Diceros bicornis minor: one gene and its partners. The main gene of each other region encodes a partner of the protein of the gene in region 3 in a complex. Links are inferred from orthologs where the notes say so. Each region holds a gene or a part of one and is shown on either strand. Other genes may lie near its edges.

Region 1 (7,142 bases), on a different chromosome or scaffold from region 3:
ATCATCTCAATGTCCCGTGTCTGTTTCTCCCACCATAAGCTCCACGGGAACAAGGGCCCGTCTGTTTATAGTGAGGGTCTAGGCCCAGCTCCTGGCGCGTAGCAGCCACTCAGGAAGTATTTGTTGAATAAAAGGGATAACCTAGATGACAGACCGGCTCTGCCCACCTCCCCTGCTTCCTCATCACTCTGTAGCCACACTGGCTGTCCTGCAACGCGACCTCGAACATACCGTGCCCTCCTCACCTCTCAGGCTGTGCACTAGCTGTACCTGCCCCTCGACCTCCCTCGAATGCTCGCTCCCAGCTGTCTGCATGCTGCTCATCCTCATCCTCAGCTCTCCGCTCAGATGTCACCTCCTCGAAGACGCCTTCTCTATCTTTCCAGAGGGGCCCCCACACTTTCTCATCACCCTCTTGATTTCTTCCATCACACTGACAATCATCTGAAATTATCGTGAGTGACGGTGACGGGTTTACTCAGTCTCCCCCAGGGGACAGAAGCTCCGCGAGGACAGGAGCTTGTCCTCTAGTTCACCGTTGTTTCTCCAGGACCCAACTCACTGCCTTGCCCCAGGAGGGGCTCAGGAAACATGTGTCCAGTGAACTAATTTTACAGAGGAGGAAACAGGCTCAGAAAGGTCGAGTGAGCTGCTCGGGCTCACACAGCTGGCACCCAGGTCCACCTACCTCCGAAGGCCCTCCGCACCACGCAGCAGCCCCCTGACCCTCCGCCTGGCCTCTAGGCAGACCCACCTTCAGGCTACGAATGCTGGATGGGGTGGCGTCCGACTTGAGCATGACTTGGATGTCTTGGAGCACCTCCTCGCCAGTGGGCCGGGGCCGGGTCACCTCATCAGCCACCTCCTTGGCAGCTTCCTCCAGCTGGAGAGGAGGAAGGGGACACGCTGTTAGTGACCAGAGCAGGACCAGCCCTGAGGGGCTCAGGGATGGGGTCCCACTCACCAGCTGCAAGTGCTCAGCCGGCTGCTTGTACAAGTAGTCGGCCAGGTCCTCGTCGAAGCTGGCCAGGTCCTCCATCTCCACCTCGATCCAGTACTCCCCCAGATTGTAATGCCGCTTGAGTTCATCCCTGGAGGGGGCAGGTGGCAGGGTGGGGGCGGGGAAGGGTGCGGAGAAGAGGAAACCAACGCTGGCTGAGGTGCACCCGCACCCCAAATCTGCCCACACTGGGGCCGCCACTGCCCCACCACCCCTCTTCCCAAACACACATCGAATTCCAGGTGGTTCCGTTAGTTAACCCTGCAGAGGCTCCCCGCCGCTGACAGAGCCACCCTCCACAGAAAGCTCTGTGGAAGTGGTCCACCAGATAGTCGAGGGATGCTGCATGGCTCAGACAGGGTTCTGCGCACAGGTGAGCTTAGGAAACTCGCACTGCAAACCAGCGCTTTCACTGCAGGACTCGGAGGCTTTAACTCTCTCTTGGAGGTTAACAAGGCACACAGCTCAAACTCGGAGACTGAAGACAGCAGAGACCATGTCTGTCTTGTCAACCACCAGACTCTTTTCACAGAACATCGCATGGGACTACTGTCCCCAAAACACATTTGGGGACCACGACCTACGCAGAACCTGCTCCTCAGCCTCTCTCAGGCCTCATCCCCTTCACCTTATGTCCAGGAGCCCGGCCCGGAGAGCCCCTTGCTATCACAGGCCACCCCGTACCTCTGCCCGTGCACGCAACTGCTCCTATACGGAAAGCCTTCCACACCTGAACTATTCTCTCAGCTCAAGCATCACCTCAAATTTGGGCTCCATGGAAGCCTTCCCTAACTCCTTTTATATTTCTCCTTTGAGGTGACTATCACCTTGTAATTTATTTGCTGGTCTCCATGCCTCGCTCCTACTGATGTATGAGCTTCTTGAGGGCAAACAGAATGAATCTTTCACCTTTGTATCTCAGTGCCCAGCACGGTGCCTGGCACATAGGTGGTCCATGTCAGCTGGTGCGTGAGTAAACAGAGGCAGGAGTGGCTAAGCCCATTTTACTGATGAAGAAACTGAGGCCCAGAGAGACGGTCACTCGGAAGCCACTCAGCTAATAACTGGTCATGCCCAAGCCTGGACCTGCAAACTCATGTTCTCTGCACTTGAAGGGCCTACAAGGATTCGGCATGACGTCACAGGGTGCACAGTGTCCAACCTTGCCCAGCTCATTCAGTGCCTGGAACAGTGCCTGGCCTGGCCTGCAGCAGACGCTCAATCCACTGAAGTTACCAATGGCAAGGAATGAACGAGCAAAGTCGATCATAACTACCACCCACAGGTCGCACCCACAGTGAACCTGAGTTTACAAGGCATCACAGACACTACATGTGAGGACAGCACGAAGCAAATGAGCAGGAAGAAGACCTAGAGGAAGAACCAAAGGGCCCAAGTGGCTCTAGCGGCCCACTCAACAGGTGACTCACTGGCAAGTTAACACCGGGGATAAAATGGACACAACCATAGGCCAGTGGGGTGCGGGGCTCTGCTGAGCGCTCAGGCACTGCTGGGGGCGCACCTCTCCCGGCCCGCGCCAGCCCGCACCTGTATTTGAAGGTGAAGCCGGTGCGGTCGGTGCCCACCCGGTACTGCCGCAGGAACTCCTTGAAGCGCCTCTGCAGCTGCGACTTGCGGGCGTGCCCCTCGTCGGCCGCGGTGTCGCCCCCGAAGCTGTCGCTGTAGAAAATGCCGGGGTCGTCGAAGCCCGACATGACTGCACCTGGCGCGGGGACAGAGCGCTGGAGCGGGCCGGGCGGCGCGGCCTCGCCTCCGCTCGGACGCCGGGGTCCTCGGCTCCGGCGGCTGGGCGACCCCGGCTCCCCGCCGGACCCCACCCACGCCAGCTCTCCCAGGAGAAGCCCCGCCCGCCCCTACCGCGCCCCCACATGCAGAGCCTGTCGACCCCCGCGGGGCCGGCTCCGCGGCCCCCAGGCCCCCGGCCTCACCTCTCCCTTCCCGCACTCCGCGGCCCGGGACAAACCAGCACCCCACACTTCCCCGCCGACTTTCGCGGGAAAAGCGAGACCCCGCCTTCGCCCGCCGCGGCCGCTGCGCCCCCATTGGTTCGCCGGGGCCGCGCGGCCAGTGATTGGGCCGCTCTGAGCCCGCGAGCCCCGCCTCCCGGGCTGGCCGCTGAAGAGGATTGGCTGCGGGGCGCCTGACGTCAGTCCTGGCCCCCTTCCGGGCTCCATTTTGTGCGTCGGCCGGTTTGGCGCGAAAGTTCTGAAAGGGGAGGAAGGGGCAGGGCGGGCGCGAAGATGGCGGCGGGGCGGGCGGACTGGGGTAAAGTAGCCGCTTTCCGAGCCATGGGGTGTAAGAACTCGGGGTTCAGAAGCTATGGGGGTCAGCCCGTGGCTTAGCGGTTAAGTGCGGGCGCTCTGCTACTGGCGGCCCTGGTTCAGACGCTGGGCGCCCACGAGGCACCGCTTCTCCTGAGGCTGCATCCCACTTACAGCAACTAGAAGGATGTGCAGCTATGACATACAACTATCTACTAGGGCTTTGGGGAAAAAAACAGGAAAAAAAGGAGGAGGATTGGCAATAGATTTTAGCTCAAGGCGGGTCGTCCTCAGCAAAAAGAGGAGGATTAGTATGGATGTTAGCTCAGGGCTGATCTTCCTCACAAAAAGAAAAAAGCAGCTATGAGTCCTCAGAGAAGCACGCGCTTGCGCAGTGTGAGCCCCCTGCACCCCCGCCCCGTGTTCTCTTACCGGTACACACTCGCCCAAAAGTTGGAGGTTTATCAGAAAAAAAGTCACCTCGGGTCTCCCTAACACCTCTGGGACCAAAATCGTCCCAAACTTGGGACGCAAGGGATGTTTTCTTAGATCCGAGTGGTGATTTTTTTTATTATTGTAGATTTTGCATTACCTGGTAGTGCTTAAAATTTGTGAAAATTCATGACCAGATCCCCAACCTAGCTTGAAAAGCAAGAAGATTTGGCAAAACTCGATGCATTCTCCAGCTGCAACAGGGACCACATCATCTCCCCTCCCTTCTTTTCCCTTCCCACCCCCCAAAAAACTGGAAAGAACTTTTTACCCTCTTGGTCACATCCACACAAACATAGATTTATGTGTTCAAACTATGTGTATTTTTACAGTGTGTAAAAATTATATCAAATGAATCTGAAACTGGCTTTGCTCATTTTCTTCACGGAAGTCCCCCTGAGCGGAGAGACAGATTTAACACATTCTGTTTAACAAGCTGCTGTGTTTTCCGTAGTAGGAATAGGATATAAATTATTGGGCCATTTTCCTGTTGGTAGAATTCTAGATGGTTTCTCTCGCCCGCCCCCTTCCTTCCTTTCTTTGTCACGACTAACAATGAATATGGATGCCCCATTCACAGAAAGCTCTGGAAACTGGGCCCAGGTGGGGAGAGCTGTGGCTGCTGTCTGAAGCCTGCTCTCTGGCCATCACCTCTTGAAGTGGCCCCAGGACCTGGCCGCACGGTGGAAGCTCTCCGTGAACAGAATTCCAGAGTCCCGTCAAGGGCTCCAGAGTCAGAACCTCCCGGGGTGGGACCCGAATTCCCCGAGTGATTCCGATGCCACATCCGCTGGTGTTTGGTCACCACTGGGCCCTCCCACCAGCTGTGGGAGGCAGGCGTATTGTTCTCTTTGCCAATGAACAAAGACTTGAAGTGACATCCAAGTTTCCAGACTTAGTGACCAAGCCAAGTCTGGGGATCAAGGTCTCCTGACTCCCGGTCCTCGCTTCCTACTGGTATAAGGAAACCCTTTGTCCCCTGCTGTCCCAACTCCACCTTCAGTAAGGGGTTTCACTTTCCCAGAGTGGGAGGCTGCATATTTAGTGTTTCAGTGGCTTGCGTGACTTCATGGAAAAGGCTTGAGTTTTAGGGCCGGACAGACCTGGGTTAAATCCTTCCTGCCCCTCAGAGTGGTAACACCCCTGTCAGGTTTGCTGTGAAGATTAAATGAGATGACAGAGGAGAGGTGACTCTCACAGGACAAGAATCACTTGGCAGGGGCTGGCCCAGTGGTGTAGTGGTTAAGTTCACGCACTCCACTTTGGCAGCCCGGGGGTCCCGGGTTCGGATCCTGGGCACGGACCTACAAACCACTCATCAAGCCATGCTGTGGCGTCGTCCTACATACAAAATAGAGGAAGATGGGCACAGATGCTAGCTCAGGGCCCATCTTCCTCAAAAAAAAAAAAAAAATCACTAGGCAAAATTCACAAAAAACTGATCTCCATTGTTTCACAATAGGAGCTCTTGTGGTATGAGGTTGGCATCTTACCTGCATCTCATTTGCTTCTCACAACAAGCAGGTGAAGTGGGTCTCACTGTGTTCATGCTACAGGTGACAGAACTGAGTCCCAGGGAAGTTAATAACTAACCTCCAAGGCAGAGCTACAATGTGGAGGAACGGGAATTTGAACCCAGGATCTCAAGTCTTTAAGATTTATCGTGCGGGACACACAAATTTTATCCCAGAATCTGCTCATTTCAGCCTCACGGGGCAATCCCATCCTCGGTAAAGCTGAGCCTCACGTCGAGCGGGGTTTGCCACAAAGATTCGCCCACCAACAGCTTAAAGCTCACCCACCAACGTTCTCAGAACAGAGCACAAGGTCCAAAACCAGCTCCTGCCACCAGCACCCTCACCACGTCTCCCCAGCAGGCAGTCAAGAAACAAGCAACGAGAAGGTCTGTTCCCCAAGGGTAACAGAGCCCAAGAAAAACACTCCGAGTTACTATCAGGCAGTATCCTTTATTATTTCACACACAAGTTAGAGACCAAGGCCACAGTGCTGTTAAACACCTCCCTCTGCACCCCCTCCCGCTCCCCCCAAACCCACCCCAACCCTGCTATAAAAACATGAGAACACAACAAAAATCCCCAGTTCAGGCTGAGCCGGGAACAAAAAGTGGCTCCAACAAAAACAAGACAGACACACGAGACACAACATCTTTGCACATTTATGTAAAAACTGCCATGGGCCGCGGGCACAGCGGGCACGGCACATCAGCGAGGAGACCGTGAACCCAGGGCATCTGGAGGTGAGGAGAGCTGCCTCCGTGGGCCACGTCTTCTGGGCTCTGCTGCAGGAACGGGGATGCTGAGGGGCTGGCGGGACCCCTCGGCCCGCTTCAAAAGTTCAGATCATGCAGCTGGCTGCGCTTTTGGCTGGGGAAGCCACCACAGGCTCCTTGCTTTCCAGAGAGAGAGGGACGCAGGGAGAGGGTGGGGGCCCGACAGCCCCCGTGCCCAAGGTAAGGAAGCCAGCCAAGAGATTCTCCCTCTCCAGAAAGAGGCCTTCCGTTGGTGAGAGTTCACGGCTCCCAGGAGGCAGCACGCTGGCATTCACATGGCGTAGAGCCCCACGGCCACCGTCGCCACCAGAAAGCTGAGTGTGAGGACCCACCGGACCAGCGGCACCTGGGAGAGGATGTTGAGAGGGAGCTTCCCCCCGGGGGTCTCCGTGGGAGTAGAGTCTGCAAGAGAAAGGGGGGCAGTGTCAGCAACAGGTGGACAGAAGTGGGGTGTCTAATGTCACAGAAAAACACAGCAGGACAGTCCCCACTCAATGCTAGAACACCAACAGGTAGCCCCCCAGCCACTGCTTGAATACCTCCCACGACAGGGAGCTTACTACTGCTCCAAGCCGTGCACTCCTTCCATTTTCAGCCAGCCCACACTGTGAGCAAGTACCCTCCAGGGGTACCCCAAGGGACCACACTGTGAGAACTGCTGCATTAGGACCAAGTCCCCTCAGCCCACCAGGTGGCCAATCCCATCAGGACTGGCCACATTCCAACGCTCCGGGGCACAATCCCACCAACAGAGGGGTCCATGTGGTCCTGGCACACGTGGGAAAGACACAGGGCCAGGTGGGGTAGGGTGGCACCAGGAGCGAAGGCCTAAAGTAACCCGCCAAGCTGGCGGCTGAGCTTCACTCACCCCTCTCCCCTCCTCTACTCCCAGAGCCACACTCCCGCCCACGGGAGATGGTGCATTTTGTGGAGCACTTTAGTGTTTCTGGAAGTTTCCCAGATATTCTCCCAGCACAGCCACAGCCTCAATAGCTCTCTGAGGCATGTGAGGCAGGGACTCACGTGAGACGAGACTCAGAGGTTATGTGTCTTCCTAGCCTTCCGTGGTGGAATAATA
Region 2 (7,315 bases), on a different chromosome or scaffold from region 3:
TATTCCTTTTATGAACAAATATTATTTTAAGGAATAGTTGAAACTGTTGTACAATTAATAAATCTGCAGGTATACAAAGGACAAGTGTGAAATAATTTTGCAAAAATATACACAAACTTTCAGATTTAGACTTTTTTTTTTAACCTATAGTAGGAATTGCATCCATTTTGTGCCCCTTGCCTCAGAGGCTTGATCTGAGCCTCTGGGAGCCCAAGATAATTCTCCTAAAAACTCACTTAAACTATTACCAGTTCTGCATATAGTAAGTGGATAATCATTTCAGTTTGCTGAACACAGCATCTAGCCATGAGGGATTCTGGAATGAACCAGAGTCTCTGCTCAAAACCCACTGACTATCATCCCCCTGGGAGGAATGATTCTTGAGAGCCTGTGTGTGTCCTGGGCCTATTAGCCTTCAGATCAATCAAATCAGTTCTCTCTCTGCCCCTGCTCAGCTGTGTCGCAGAGGGGCCAGAGCCTGCAGGCCTGCTGCATCACCTACTGGCAGGTGGGTTTATCAGTGGAAGGTGAATGCAACAAAAGGTGCCCCACCACACTAAGACCTAGAAAAAGGAGTGATTTTACAACTTCTAAGTTCCATCCCTGGCTCCCCAAAAGCAGTAAACCAACACTTATCTTAAAATTTGAGTGAGAAGGCCAGCTGGACTAAGAGTCTTAAGAGCCGGTTCCAAGGCCACCTCAGCCAGCACCTGTTGGAGAAGTCTCTGCCTCTCTGGGCTTGTTTCCTCATGTGCATCATGAACTCCAAAGTGCCTAGTTGTCCGGACCCCAGCGTGGAGCCATATTTTAGAGCCTACATACCTCTGCATTCCAGCATCTCTACTAAACTCCCACTGTTGTCTCCTGACTTTTTAAATGAGGTAACTGTCCTGAAGTTGAAAGAACAACAGACTAGAATCTAGGAAACCTGTGTTCAAGTTGAGGCTCTTCCTCCAATATGCTGTAAGTTCAGACAAGTACCTTAACTTGATCCATAATTTCTGTTGGCTCAGTTTTCTCATCTGTAAAATGACCTAATTGTCAGACTAGGTGCCCTTTAATGTTCAAAACAAAACTCACCCTCCCCCGAACACTCTTCCTCCTCAACTCCAATGTGGTTTACTCAGCCACCTGAGAGAAGCGCCTCCCAAAATCCCGATTCCTCCTCCTCACTGATTACTCACCCCATCTCCACTTCTGTTCTAATAGTTAGAAGTCTTGTTTGTCTCAAGCCCATACAGGCCAGACACCGATTTCAGGGCCCACTGACCAGACACAGTTTGGACCATACACATCTATCATCTGGTCTATTTTAACCACCCACTAACGATCTCCCTGCCTCCATTCTTTCTTCTCTCCAATCCATTCCCCATATTGCTGCTGCTATAGTTATCCTCAAAACATAAAAAATTACCCTCTCACTCCCCTGTCTAAAATCCTCTGCCAGCTTCCAAATGCCTTATGAGTGAATACCAAACTCTCCCAGGCCTGGAACCCACCTCTGTAGTCCCTGCACACACCCTGTCTTTCAGTCACCCTTTGCTATGTGATTGCCCGTCTCTGCACTTGGCTGGGACGCCTCACTCCCTTCTCAGAGTGGTGACCTCATCCTTCTAGGCATGGCTCAAACGCCCCCTCCTGTACCCTAGCTCACACTGGCATTTCTCCTTTGTGCTCCTTTTCTACACCTCTTCGGCATCACCTATCACATTACATTCTATTACCTGTTTTCGTGCCCCACTCCCAGCACAATGTGCCCTGGCATCCACACTGTGGCTGCCCTATGACGGGGGATGTAGTCAAGTATAGAACCTAGAGTTCAGGCTCTGGAGCCAAACTGCCAGGGTTTAAATCTGAGCTTTACTTCTTACTGGCTGTGTCACTTAATCTCCCCAAGCTTCCAACAGATAGCTGGAAAAAAATGGAAAATAAAAGATGGTTTAGACTTCAAAGGGTTACCATGAGAACAAGAGATAATATAGGTTACAGTGATGTATGATAATTAGTCTTTGGGTGGTGACCATGATGCACTCCATACAGAAATGGAAATATAACGAGGTGCACCTGAAATTTACATAATGTTATAAATCAATGTTACTTCAATTAAAAAAAAGAAAAAAAGAGAGATAATGTAGGTCAAGCGCTCAGCACCCTGACTGGGGTAGCAGTAACAGGGAAATAAGAATAATCATAAGAGCAGTAGGAGTAGCAGCAGCAGTGGCAGAAAGAAAATTAATAGCAAGCACTGACTTAGCCGTTCCTGGGTGTCAAGCATTGTTCAGAAAGCCTGACATACACCAACTCATCAGCCCTCAGCATACCAGGAGTTGGGTACTATTCCCATCGGCCCCATTTCTGCAGAGACGAAAACAGCACAGAAAGCTTGAGTAACTCGCCCAAAGCCACACGATGGAGCCAGAATCCCAGCCTGGCTCCACAGGCCTAGCTTTCAATCACCACCCTTTGCTGCCCGAGTGCACGACAAATGCTAGAGCACAGGCAACTACTAATCAATGCTTGGTGCAACAAAGGAACAGCAGCAGAGCTGCACACCGGAGAACACTAAGGGAGACATAGGAGGAAATTCACAATATCGCCGGGTGACATAAACATTAGTGCTTTCTTTTTCCTCCTATACTTTGTCTTGCCACGTTCCAAAACTTCTGTCCCCCGACTTTGGAGCTTACACCACGAGAAAGTAAACCCTCCGGGTAAGGCGCAAGGAAGAACCGCGGGAAGCCGCCCCGCCCCCGGTCCCGCCCCCGGGGCTTCCAGGCCCCGCCAGCCAGCACGCCCATCTTTGTCTGCCCCTGCCCCCCTCACGTTGAAGGCGGGCAGCTGCCCTTCGGGTGTGCGATGCAGCTCGCGGACCAGCTCCATGGCCTTTTCGCAGAACATGGCGGACGCGCCCCGGTCCCGCGGCCTTGTGAGCCGCCCACTCTCACGACAAACGGTCCCCGGGCTCTCGGCCGCCGCTCTCGGCTCCTATCTTTCCCGGTCCCACAGCTCCTGATCCTCGCTTCCCCTCCGCGTTTTGGCGCCAAGCCTGGCCAGCCAATAGGAACGCACTGATGGGCGTCGCGGCCTACGGCGGCGGCAAAGGGACATTTGACTCCACTGCCCAGCTGCTTCAAGACGGGCAGAGTCCTGGGTGGAGGTCCTTTGCTGGGGATGGCCCCCGCGTGTGGGGAGAGCCGGCGGGCCTGGGTCCGCAGGCTGAGTAGACTTCTTCGAGTTCCCAGGAGGGTAACCAGGCAACTCTGCGCGCACCACGGCTCGGGAGAAATGCAGGCCCCGCAACTTCCTTTTTCCATTTGAGTCATTCCTTTTCGTTTAGGTTCCAAGGGTTGCGCACTTTGAGGTTCAGAAGGCAGGCCCGGGAACTTGGTGTGCATTCACGTTATGACGCAGCGTTTCGTTCGTTAGTTTTGCAGTGTGAGTTTTTCGTTTGATAGATAGTAATGGGAAACCAAGTTTTATTGGGTATTTCTTGTGTGGCAGGGACTGGGACTTCTATTTCATTTAATTCTCAGGATTAACCCTAAGGTGGTCATTAAGTCTCTTGGAACGGATTAGGAAACAAGTTATGGGCCGCCCCGTGGCTTAGCGGTTAAGTGCGCGCGCTCTGTCGCTGATGGCCTGGGTTCAGATCCTGGGCGCTCACCAACGCACCGCTTCTCCGGCCATGCTGAGGCCGCGTCCCACATACAGCAACTAGAAGGATGTGCAGCTGTGACATACAACTGTCTACTGGGGCTTTGGGGGAAATAAATAAATAAATAAATAGAAGTCACTTCTTAAAAAAAAAAAAAAGGGAAACAAGTTAGATAATTTGCCCGAGGTCTCACAGCTCATCAAGTGACAGACCCTGTATTTAAGCTTTCAACTCCACAGTACCACCTTTGATTTTAAAAGAAGTCATTTAAAAACATTTGTAAAATAGCTCCAGTCACAAGGTCTATGAAGGGGGAAAAATGCCCCAGATTAACACGCATTCACATAGCCATATACTTGCCTAAATGATTATGGAAATTTTCATAACTATATAGAATCGAAGGTGGGAATTACTGCTATAGAAACAATTCGTTTTATTTGGATATTTTTTAAAAAGCAATATTACTTGGATTCATTCTAGCTAACCCTAGACACTGTGTCCCTCTTCTGCAAATATAGATACAGTAGATGTGTGATCTGAGACGTGAGCATGGGAATGGCCTACAATGCTTCAATCATCCTTAAGTTGAGTGACATTTCATTTTCAGCTCTACGTTAAGAGATAATTTAGCTAAGTGTTTTCATTAAAGATACAATTCTCTAGTGGACTGTGCTACAGTATTGTGATCCAAAACCTTTTTAATTTTGCCATAAACCTTTTTAATTTCAGTCCCCAGGCCTGGGATTCACTTCCTTACCTATCCAATGAGGACAACAGTACCCACTTCTAAGGGGTTGTGATGATTCATTATTCCTGCAGCAAATATTTTCTGAAGTGTCTATTACATCCTGGGCATTGTTCCAGACACTTAAGATGAAGCAGTGAACACAATCCTTACTCTCAGAATCCACGTGCCAGTTTGGGAAAAGCAATACATAGATGCCGATATACTAATGGCAAATATTGGTAAAAAGTGCTACGAAGGAGAATAAGCCAAGGAGGGTGAACAGAGTACTGGTGAAGCCTGAGAGTTTTGAGTTAGTGTTCAGAGAAGGCACAGACCTGAAGTGGGGAGGTAGTGAGCCACGTGGATATGTGGCCACAGCATGGGCAGAGAATTCCAAGCAGCAGGAATGGAAGTGCAGAGGCTGGGAGGAGGGGTGTGGGGGGACGTGTGCAAGCATGGGAGGCAGTGACACTGGAGCAAGGTGAGCATGGGAGAGGCTGGTGGCTGAGACCAGAGCGAGGGCTGGAGGCCATGTAAGGTACAGCCTGTGGGCCTTTACATAAGCTTTTGGTTTTATTTTCAGTGAGATGGGGAGTCAATGAAGTGTTTTGAGCAAACAAGTGACAGGATTGGACCTAGGTTTTTAAAAAGACCTTTGTGGCCGCTGCGTTAAGTACAGGTGAGGCAAAGGAGAAGGCAGGAGACCACTTAGGCTATTAAAATAATCCAAGTGAGAGATGATGGCATCTTGGCCCAGTGTGTGGATGGTGGAGGTGGTAAGAAGTGCTTGGATCCTGGGGATAGATTTTTAAATGAGAACTGACAAAGCTTGGTGATAGATGCTGTGGCATAAGAAGGGAGGAATCAAGGGTGACCCCAGGGTTTGGCCTGAGGAACTCCAAGGGTGGAGTTGCCACTCCTCACGTGGGGAAAGTTGTGGATGGAGCTGGGGGTGGGAGAAGAGTTGGGAGCTCAGCTTTGAACACAATATGGTTAGGCGCCTGTAGGATATCAGAGTAGATGAGTAGACCATTGGATAGAGGAGCCCAGGGTTCAAGGAAGAGGTGTGGACTATTAGAGATACAAATGTGACTGTCCCCAGTGACAGGTGGTATTTAAAGCCTGGATAAGATCACTCAGAAAGTGAGTGTAGACTACGAGTTGAGGACTGTATAGGCAGGGCCTAGTGCCAGCAAGCAACACTCAATACCCTTTACATTTCTCTCTTCTCTCCAGCCCTCCCTTCCTTGCTTTTTTGTTTCTCTATTAAAAAGGATTTTGGGGGCCAGCCCCTTAGAGTAGCAGTTAAGTTCACACACCCTGCTTCCGCGGCCCGGGGTTTCCTGGTCTGGATCCTGGGTGCGGACCTCGGCACCACTCATCAAGCCATGCTGAGGCAGTGTCCCACGTGGACGAGCTACAACTCTACAACTATGCTACACAACTATGCACTGGGGCTTTAGGGAGAAAAAAGAAAAAGAGGAAGATTGGCGACAGATGTTAGCCCAGGGACAATCTTCCAAAAAAAAGAGGATTTTGTGAGTGATAGGTTCAAAATTTTTTTACACTTTAGTTCCTGGATTCCCAATCTCTGGTATGTACTACTACAATGCTTTATAAAGAATTCACCATTTAAATTCCACAAGTGTAGTTGGAGATATCCACACAAATATGAACACTGGTTGTGATATCTGGTATACAATCAATGAAATTCTTCTGCCATTTCAAAGTATCATCACTGTGGGAGATCAAAATTGGCCACCCTGAAATATATCTCTTTACCTTGATTATTTTCTCTGATGGACATTTGACCTCCCCCAAACTGCCTAAAGGAATTTAACTCTGGGTGTAGACAGACTGGCAGGGTTCTTGCTAAACCCATTCTTAACAAAGCTCTGTTTACCAAATATTTACATTTGTAACGGTATCTCCCTCTGTATAGTGGGAAGAGGGGGGATGACTTTATCTGTGAAAACTCTTATCAGGACAGAAGACAACGACTTAAATCTACATACTCGATCACTATAATTCCTGTCTCTCCGGCCACATTCTTTATAGGTGGCCCTGGAAAGCATTGTCTGACGAACACTTACATTTCCCTGTCCATGTAAATTGTCTTATTGCCCTCTGAAATCCCAAAACACCACCTGCCCCAACATCCTCCTTTGTCTTTAGCTGAAGATGGTATTTAAGATGAGAATCTCTGCCACTGTGTTGAGAAATTCAGTTTCCCTGGTTTCTCCCATGTATACATGTTATTAAACTTGGTATTATTTTCTCCTGCTAACCTGTCTTGTTAATTATTTGGCCAGCCAGAAGAACCTTAAGGGAAAGGGTGGAGGGGGATTCTCCCTCTTCCCCAACAACACAAAGCTAATACAAGGAGCTATTGAATTTCTAAAGGCATTTCTAATTGATCTTAAGTTATCACTGGCCAATAGTTTTCAACTGATATAATTGTTGAAATTACAAAAGTTACTTTCGAATAAGTAAGCAAAATCTCTTGGTGGCAGATGGTTTGTAAAAAATAATGGCCAAAGCTATAAAACTAAACATGTGAAACTGCTCTTTTATCTTTTCTGTTTGTAGGATGGGTTGAATTAGTTCTTCATTTGGGCTTCACAAGTGGAAATTTATCTTTGAAATGGATTGTCCCCCTTCTGCTAGTTCTAATTGTTTTACAAAAATCTAAAACCTAATACAGGTTTTTAAAAAGTAACAGCTGTTTTCACATGTCGTCCCAAAAGCTAAAAATAAGTATCTATACATTTGTGTTTCAACAAACCAAAAAGTACCTGAAAATGCATTTTTTTAAGTAAAGTCCTTGTGGGAAAACAGTTATAAGTCATTAGAATTGTGACTTGTTACCTTTTTCTTTTTGTCCTATAAACCTTTGTAAGAACATTTCCAGGGGTTTACCCAGATTGGGTTTT
Region 3 (7,078 bases):
GGCCATTTTAGGCTCACGGTGGCCTCTCACACTGCTCACACTGCTATCTTGCTGGTCCCTACACCACCCCTTGGATGATCAGGGCAGGTCCAAGCCCCATTTATAGAGCAAACTCCTCTGAGATTCCGATATTCAATGAGACTGGGCTGGCCTGAGCTCCAAGGGCAGACTCAATGCAGGCTTCTGGTATCTACACCTCCCAGGTCAAGCAAATTCCACGAATGCATTCTGAGCACCTCCAAGGGTAAAGTGCCATGCTTCTCATCAAAGACAGACAAGTTCTTGTCCTCAGGCTGCTCCAACTCCTATATGGGAGGTGGATACGTGCCTTGCCAAGAACACCAGGTGCAATGTTGTCTGTGGCATTAAAAGGTACAGTCAGATCAATGGGAGAACTTGGGGGAGGCGTGGGCCCCAAAGCCCTAGTTACCTGGGTATCATTGTACACATTCACGACATTGACTGGCCTGTGAGTGTCACATACAAAAAATATGGCGTCTTCATCGGGCTGAAGGATATCCAATAGGTCTACGTTAGCTCCACAGTTTATGAGGATAAAATAACGAAACTGAAAAAAGAAGAGACATTGTGCACTAAGTGCATTGCGGAGGCCCTCTACCTCAGCATACTAGGCCTGAGTCCTTCCGCTGAGAAACATCAAGCCTCCGACACTTGGCAAGGCCCTGACAGCAAGAGGCTCCAAAAATGGCCATGGCCGGCCTGTGTTAAGAGCTTTAACATATACCATATGCTATTTCATGTTCATGATGACACCGTGAGATAGGCTCCACGCTGGCACCACGGCTGTCTCCACTTCGCTGAGGAGCATGCAGAGGGTCAGCATGGCCGAGTCTCATGCACAGGGGCAAGAAGCTGATGTGGAGCAGATCAAAACTTCAAATGCATAACTGGGCCTCTCCAGACCTCAGTCTGCTGTGCTGCCTCTCCATACTAATAGCATTGTACAGGTTTACACTTTCAGCAAATCTTGGGCAGCCTATACTTAATGGGCACCTAAATATTAAATTAAGTCTTTTATTATATCCTATCACTATAGAGAATCCTTTCCTTATAAACACCGAATTGGCACAGGTCCCTTCTGTGATGACATGAGCTCCAGGCAAGGATTTATCTCTGCCAGACAATCCTAGATGTGGCCAGAGACTCCAGGCAGCTGTGGGGCAGTGGGCTCTAAGATGTCCCACATCTCATTACAGCTCCATACAGAGGTGGTAGGAGTACTGGCCTCTACTGTTTAAATTACAAAGGGAGAAGATATGTTCCTAGATTTCTAGTTGGAAACTGGAATACATTTTCTTGGAGAGACAATGTAAAATAATGGTCTAATCTAAAATAATTTTAACTAGGCCATATCAAAAACTAACTGCTAAATTCCAAGCAGCTTAGAAAGAAATGTCAGCAACACAAGTTCAAAGTTAAAGGCTATACGTATTCACTATCTTTCTTTCGCTGTCCATTTTGTCTCCACAACTCACACGGGCATACAGCTCAGTTTTCTCTTCCGTACTGCCTAATATAGTTGATACTTACATATACATGCAACCTACTGTGGAAATAGAAAGAATGCTAAGTGTTGAGAAATTGCAATTGAGTAAAAAAAGCCTAATCATTCTAAAATATATCTCTCATACCTGTTCTTTATGCTCAAGAAATGCAGTTTCAAGTTCTTGCCACCCAGAAACTGGAATCAGCGTATACTGCACGTGGTCACACTGGAACAGGGCCTGGAGAGAGATGATTTTCAAAACCTATCTTAATTAGGGTGTCTGCAATTTCCCTTGAAATGCAGTTAAAAACAAGTGGCTGAGAGACAAATGACATGGATAAAGTAAGGTTAGTGAAATGTTAATAGGAGAAACCAGGTAATGGGGATATGAGTGTTCACTGTTCATTCTTTCAACGTTTCAACGTTGCTGAATTTTTTTAAAAACTACCAAAGGAAAATATTGGGAGAAAAGCTGGTCTTATTTTTATGTCTTCTGAGACCTAAAGTAGTTCCTGACCCAAGTGCCTGACCAAAGTTCTTGTAAACATCGCACCACACTCAAAACTGAACCAATGATCTTGCATCCTGTATTTCCAGTATTGCTTATGACACCACTGTGCACTCAGTTGTCACAGATTCCTCTGTCTCAAATCCCACATTTGAGAAGCCACTATGGGTCTATAGGTCTCTCGAATGCAGCCATTTTTTGCCTAGGTTATTGCAAAAAAACTAACTAGTCTCTGCCTTTTGCCTAATCCTTCTCAAACCTGCCCAATACTCTCCTGCCAGGGAGGTGATCTCTCAGAGTCCCCCTTCCCGGCTTTCAGTTGTCGTTGCTCCGGCCCTCACCGGAGGCCTCACTGGGAGCCTGAGTTCTCACCCCAGAGGGGGTTCTTTACCCCGCTCCTCACCTCCCGCCCGGCTGCCTACCCCACCCTGTTCCCCCCGGACGCTAAGCTTTCACTTCCCGGAATCTAAGCCTTCACTTCCCGCCCCACTCCCTGCCCACCCTGCGCCCCCACCACCCGCCCGTGCCCACCCTGCACCCTCTCCTCTCGCCCCGGCCCCACCCTCCCAGGGTCCGCAGGGCTCACTTGAAGGATCTTGCAAGCGCACAGTGCGTCCACGTCCCAAGCCACGAAGAGAAGAACCCTCTGTCGGGGGAAGAGCGGCGAGCTGAGCGCAGCGACACGAACCCGGGCCCCTCCCGCCCTCCCACGGCCGCTCCCCTTTATCCCTTCCCCCCGACAAGGCTTCAGGGTCCAAGAAAGGGGGTCACCTGGCTCTGGACCACCTCGTAGAACTCCTTACGGAAATCGGACACGAACATGGCCACAGCGGCCGGACGCCCAGAGCTCTCTCTGAGACACGGAGAGCTCCGGCCGCGGTCAAGACTCCCGCCAAATCAGAGCTCTTCCGATTGGCCTAGGGGCCAACCAATAGCTACTTAGTGCCCAGCCTTTCCTCCTTTTTGATTGGAGCATATTTGAGGCGGGCAGTAGCGCTCCGCCATTCCGCTGGAACAGTCCGGCCCTGACCGAAAAAAGCGTCATCAACAGGCGGGACGCAAACAGGGCTGTCCACTTCACCTCTGACTCCCGTTTACCCAGAAACCCGACGCTCGGTGGACATCTTTACTTTGGGAAGAGAAGCCTATAGCCTCCCACTGGGAGCTCCAAGAAAAAGAAACATTTTCGTCATGAATTAAATTAATTTATACATCGAACGGGGGCGTCAGTTTACGATGTCACTAGGCTCTCGGTCTAGTTTGAAGGAGGATGTGTAGCTTATTTCCGCCCGAGTCCTGGATGGCTGCGGCAAAGGCCGGAAGGTCTACATGCATTCTGGGTAGTGTAGTCAGTAAGGAGAATGGGCCCCACTAAACTCCTCTAGAGGGGAGTACTATCAAAATGTAATTTAAAGTAATTATAAAAATTACTCGAGAGTGGAGCACACTTTAGGAAAGGGTATTTTAGTGCTTTTTCCGGGGAAATTTTAGACCCTAGCGCCTCTGCCTGGCTTTTTCTCTTTTGCAGCCGACCCCTGCCCTCGGCGCCTCCCCCCGGGTCTCAGGTCCGGTACTTCCGGTGAGTCTCCCCGCGGTCGGAGCTGAGGCGGCGGCGGCGGCTGTGAGGAGAGCGGTCGGCGGGCTGCCATCGTTACGTTCCCTGGGCGAAGCGGCGGCAGCGAGGCAGAGGTGTCCATCATGGTAAGCGCGGCCAGGCAGGGGCCGGGAGCTGGGGCTGCGGCCGGGAGCTGGGGTTGAGGGCCGAGGCCGGGGCCCGGCGGGGCGGACGTGACGGCTACGGAGATGTCGAGTCACCCTGGCCGGAGTCCGGCCCGTCTGCCCGTCCGGGGCGCCTCGGGCTGGAGCCGAACCCTTCACCGCTAACGGCCTCGGCTCTCTCCGCTTGTGCGGAGCATGGTTCGCATTTCCTCAGTTGGACTTGAACTTCTTGAGGGGAAAAAGGAAGCTTCTAGTTGCAAGTGCTAGACACGTAGCATGTTTCCGTAAACACCAAATTAATTGGAAGGTTGTGAGGGCGAGGAGCAGAATCAGGGGCTCCCAGTGAGAATGCGCGGGGTCATCCCCTTACCCCAGTTCCTCAAGCCCAGTATTTCTTGGTCATGCCTCGAGTGTGATGATGCTTTCGGCTATTTAAGCGATTCAGTAAAGATAACAGTAGTAGCTAATATTTACTGGCCCTTTTTCCATTACGCAGCTTTTTCTTTTAACACCTACAGTTGCTCATTACAACTCATCCCGTTTAATCCTTATGAAGCACTTGGAGGCATGGGTGATCATTATTTTAACCATGAGAAAACTAAGGTTTAAAGAGGTAGATAGTTTACTTGAGGTCACAAAAGTGAGGAGTGGAAATTTGAAGCCAAGTCTATCTGGCTGCAAAGCTCAGGCTCATTACCATTGTACAGCATTGCCTCAGTGTCAGCTGTTTATTTTCATAAAAACAAGGAATGATTATTAGATTTTATCCCAGGTATGTCAGTGTTGAATCACGTTTCTATTCTCAAGTCCATGCACTTAATGGACATTGAATACCTGATAGGTCTTGGTAATATGCTAGGCATTGGGGGTGTAAAGGGAAGTAGAACTTGGGGTTGGGAGCAGCAGAGAGGGGCAGAAGGTCAGGTTCATGGGTAGATTGAAGGCAGATTGTTAGGGATATTAAGTACTTTGTGTGTATTTTACTCTGTCCTGTTGTAAAGAGAAGAAATGGCTTACATGAGTTAGTGTAGTGACAGGGCTCAGGGAGGTGCCTGCTTCTCTCCCTTCTTTCATCTGGAAATCCTGTTTCATTTGTCCTGCTTCTGGCCAAGATTTTGTTGAACAGAGTTATGCTGTTTAAAAAAAGAGAGGGAAAGGTTTGAAAACTGCTATGCTGGAGCTCCAGGGAGTGAAGAGCCATTTGAGATCTTAATCAGGAGCATGCTGTATTTGCATATTAGAAAGATAGCTGATTCAGCTTACTAATTTTGGAATTGCCAGGAAACTACCTTGTCAGTAGATGGCTTGCTCTCTACTTCATTTATATTTGGAATCAAGTCAAGAAATATTTGTCTATTGTGAGGGTTTTTTTTAACTTACGGTAAAAAACACATGGCATAAATTTATCATCTGAAACATTTTTAAATATACAGTTCAGTAGTATTAATTTTATTCATATTGCTGTGTAATGGATCTCCAGAACTTTCTCATCTAACAACAATTTCCCACTTCCCCTCCCCCAGCCCCTGGCAACAACATTCTACTTTCTATCTCTATGAATTTGATGACTCTAGGGACCTCATATAAGTGGAATCATATAGTATTTGTCTTTTTGTAGCTGGCTTATTTCACTTAGCATAATGTCCTCAAGGTTCATCCTCCATGTAGCATGTGACAGGATTTCCTTCATTTTTCAAGCTGAACAATATTCCATTGTATGGATATACCACAATTTGTTTATCCATTCATGCTTCAATGGACACTTAGGTTGTTCCACCTCTTGGCTATTGTAAATAGTGCTGCTGTGAACATGAGTCTACAAATATCTCTTCAAGAGCCTGCTTTCAGTTCTTTTGGATATATACCCTATTGTGCAATTTTGTATTCTTTTTTTTAAACATCAAGGGAATTGCAATACTTTGAGAAGACCCCAGATTGCTGTGTAACGTGTTTTCTAAGCCTCATTGTAATCCACAATGTAAGAGCTGAGATCTTACCTTTTTGATGACACCACATCTTGGCTTTACTTATTAACAGGAGGGAGTACCACAGTGTAGCACATGAGAGCACAATGGAGGGGCACCAGCCCAGACCTTGGGCAGAGCAGGGAAGGTTCCTGGAGCAAGGAAAGGGTGGTCATGAAGCCAGGAGAACGGGAAGGGGTGCAAACACTGGGCGCCTGCTCTTGCTGCTGCCTGGAATGCCATTCCCTGCTTTCTGCCTGGCTCCCTTTCCTGGCATTCAGGTCTCTGCAGAGTCCCTTCCTGACCACCCATCTAAAATAGCATTCCCAGGAGGTCTCTGTCCCTTACCTCTCTTGTCCTCAGAGCTTTCATCACTGCCAGACATGCAGGCATTTTCTTTTGCTTGTTTCTCTCATCTTGAATGTTGGCTCCACCAGGGCAGAGATTGTACCTGTTTTGTTGGTGAGCAGACATCACTAGAGTGATGTTTCCCGAGTGCTTAAGTCAGAGCCTGGCAGATAGTGGGCACTCAATAAATAGAGATTTTTTAAATTAATGAGAAGAGGAAAAGTGTTCCAGGTGGAGGAACCAGCCTGGCGGGGACGTGGCAGGTGTAGGAGATTTTGGGGCCATCAGTAACCGGTCCCTGAGGTGGGTGCAAGGTCTGGCTTGGATCCTGTGGTGTTTGGGGGCTGAAAGAGATTAAGGACAGGCTTGATGTGGCTAGTTTTATATTTTAGTATGTTCACACCATCTGAAAACAGTGGAGACTAAATCGGAGAGATGAGACTTGGCATGGAAGAATGTGTAGAACAGAGAGATTTGAGATTCACTGTGCTGCTGGGAGGTGTTCAGGCAGACTGCTCTGGTCCATCAGGATTTGGGGGCATCTTGTTCTTTGATGATGTTTAGCGGCATTAACTACCCTGACCTGTTTGGGCTTTGACGAGAAGAAATGTACCTTTGTTCTGTTCTAACTCCGGCATTTCTTTCCTCCTCCTAGTTTTCTTTCAACATGTTTGACCACCCGATTCCCCGGGTCTTCCAGAACCGCTTCTCCACACAGTACCGCTGCTTCTCCGTGTCCATGCTTGCGGGGCCTAATGACAGGTCAGATGTGGAGAAAGGAGGGAAGAGTATGTGCTTGTTTTTATTTTGAATAGTAACCTTTCCTGCCCTCAGCCTGCAGTGCTTATAGTCCTCAACAGTCCTTATTTTGCATGTATAACCAGAGCTAGTTACAGTGAAAATGTTGCTTGCCTCAGGCCTGCTGGTGGGGGTGGGGGGAATCCTAATTATGATTAGATTTATGGCTAGTAGCCATTAGGTTCCTCAAAGTAAATTCTAGCAAGTAAATTCTTTTTGAAAGATCATTAGGAA

The links. The genes of interacting proteins can lie anywhere in the genome.
Region 1: CDC45 (region 3) and MCM5 share a complex: the UniProt entries of both Homo sapiens proteins name them as parts of the CMG helicase complex. The link is inferred for Diceros bicornis minor from reciprocal best matches to the Homo sapiens genes CDC45 and MCM5.
Region 2: the proteins of CDC45 (region 3) and GINS1 are in contact, whole or in part, in a cryo-EM structure (PDB 6XTY), measured with the Homo sapiens proteins. The link is inferred for Diceros bicornis minor from reciprocal best matches to the Homo sapiens genes CDC45 and GINS1. Residues at the interface, in NP_003495.1 of Homo sapiens: Arg18, Gln37, Phe40, Gln41, His44, Val45, Gln46, Tyr47, Thr48, Leu49, Val50, Pro51, Glu64, His65, Gln68, Phe69, Thr394, Asp395, Ile398, Leu401, Asp402; in NP_066545.3 of Homo sapiens: Leu146, Tyr147, Glu149, Arg151, Glu158, Thr165, Ser166, Val167, Leu168, Lys170, Lys171, Asn172, Ser173, Gln174, His175, Phe176, Leu177, Pro178, Leu195.

Annotation. Positions count from the first base shown.
Region 1 is NC_080764.1:14,204,307-14,211,448, forward strand, and holds the start of MCM5 (DNA replication licensing factor MCM5), read right to left. Parts: upstream 3,005-7,142; 5' UTR 2,950-3,004; intron 2,724-2,949; 5' UTR 2,716-2,723; coding exon 2,549-2,715; intron 1,092-2,548; coding exon 965-1,091; intron 884-964; coding exon 755-883; intron 1-754. Other genes in the region: HMOX1 (heme oxygenase 1), read right to left, coding at 6,336-6,466. UniProt on the Homo sapiens protein: Acts as a component of the MCM2-7 complex (MCM complex) which is the replicative helicase essential for 'once per cell cycle' DNA replication initiation and elongation in eukaryotic cells.
Region 2 is NC_080758.1:51,383,318-51,390,632, reverse strand, and holds the start of GINS1 (DNA replication complex GINS protein PSF1), read right to left. Parts: upstream 3,005-7,315; 5' UTR 2,899-3,004; coding exon 2,824-2,898; intron 2,682-2,823; exon of another isoform or gene 1,725-2,681; intron 1-1,724. UniProt on the Homo sapiens protein: Required for correct functioning of the GINS complex, a complex that plays an essential role in the initiation of DNA replication, and progression of DNA replication forks.
Region 3 is NC_080774.1:32,205,802-32,212,879, reverse strand, and holds the start of CDC45 (cell division control protein 45 homolog), read right to left. Parts: upstream 3,011-7,078; 5' UTR 2,838-3,010; coding exon 2,787-2,837; intron 2,662-2,786; coding exon 2,602-2,661; intron 1,746-2,601; coding exon 1,653-1,745; intron 569-1,652; coding exon 431-568; intron 1-430. Other genes in the region: UFD1 (ubiquitin recognition factor in ER-associated degradation protein 1), read left to right, coding at 3,714-3,716, 6,702-6,834. UniProt on the Homo sapiens protein: Required for initiation of chromosomal DNA replication. Core component of CDC45-MCM-GINS (CMG) helicase, the molecular machine that unwinds template DNA during replication, and around which the replisome is built.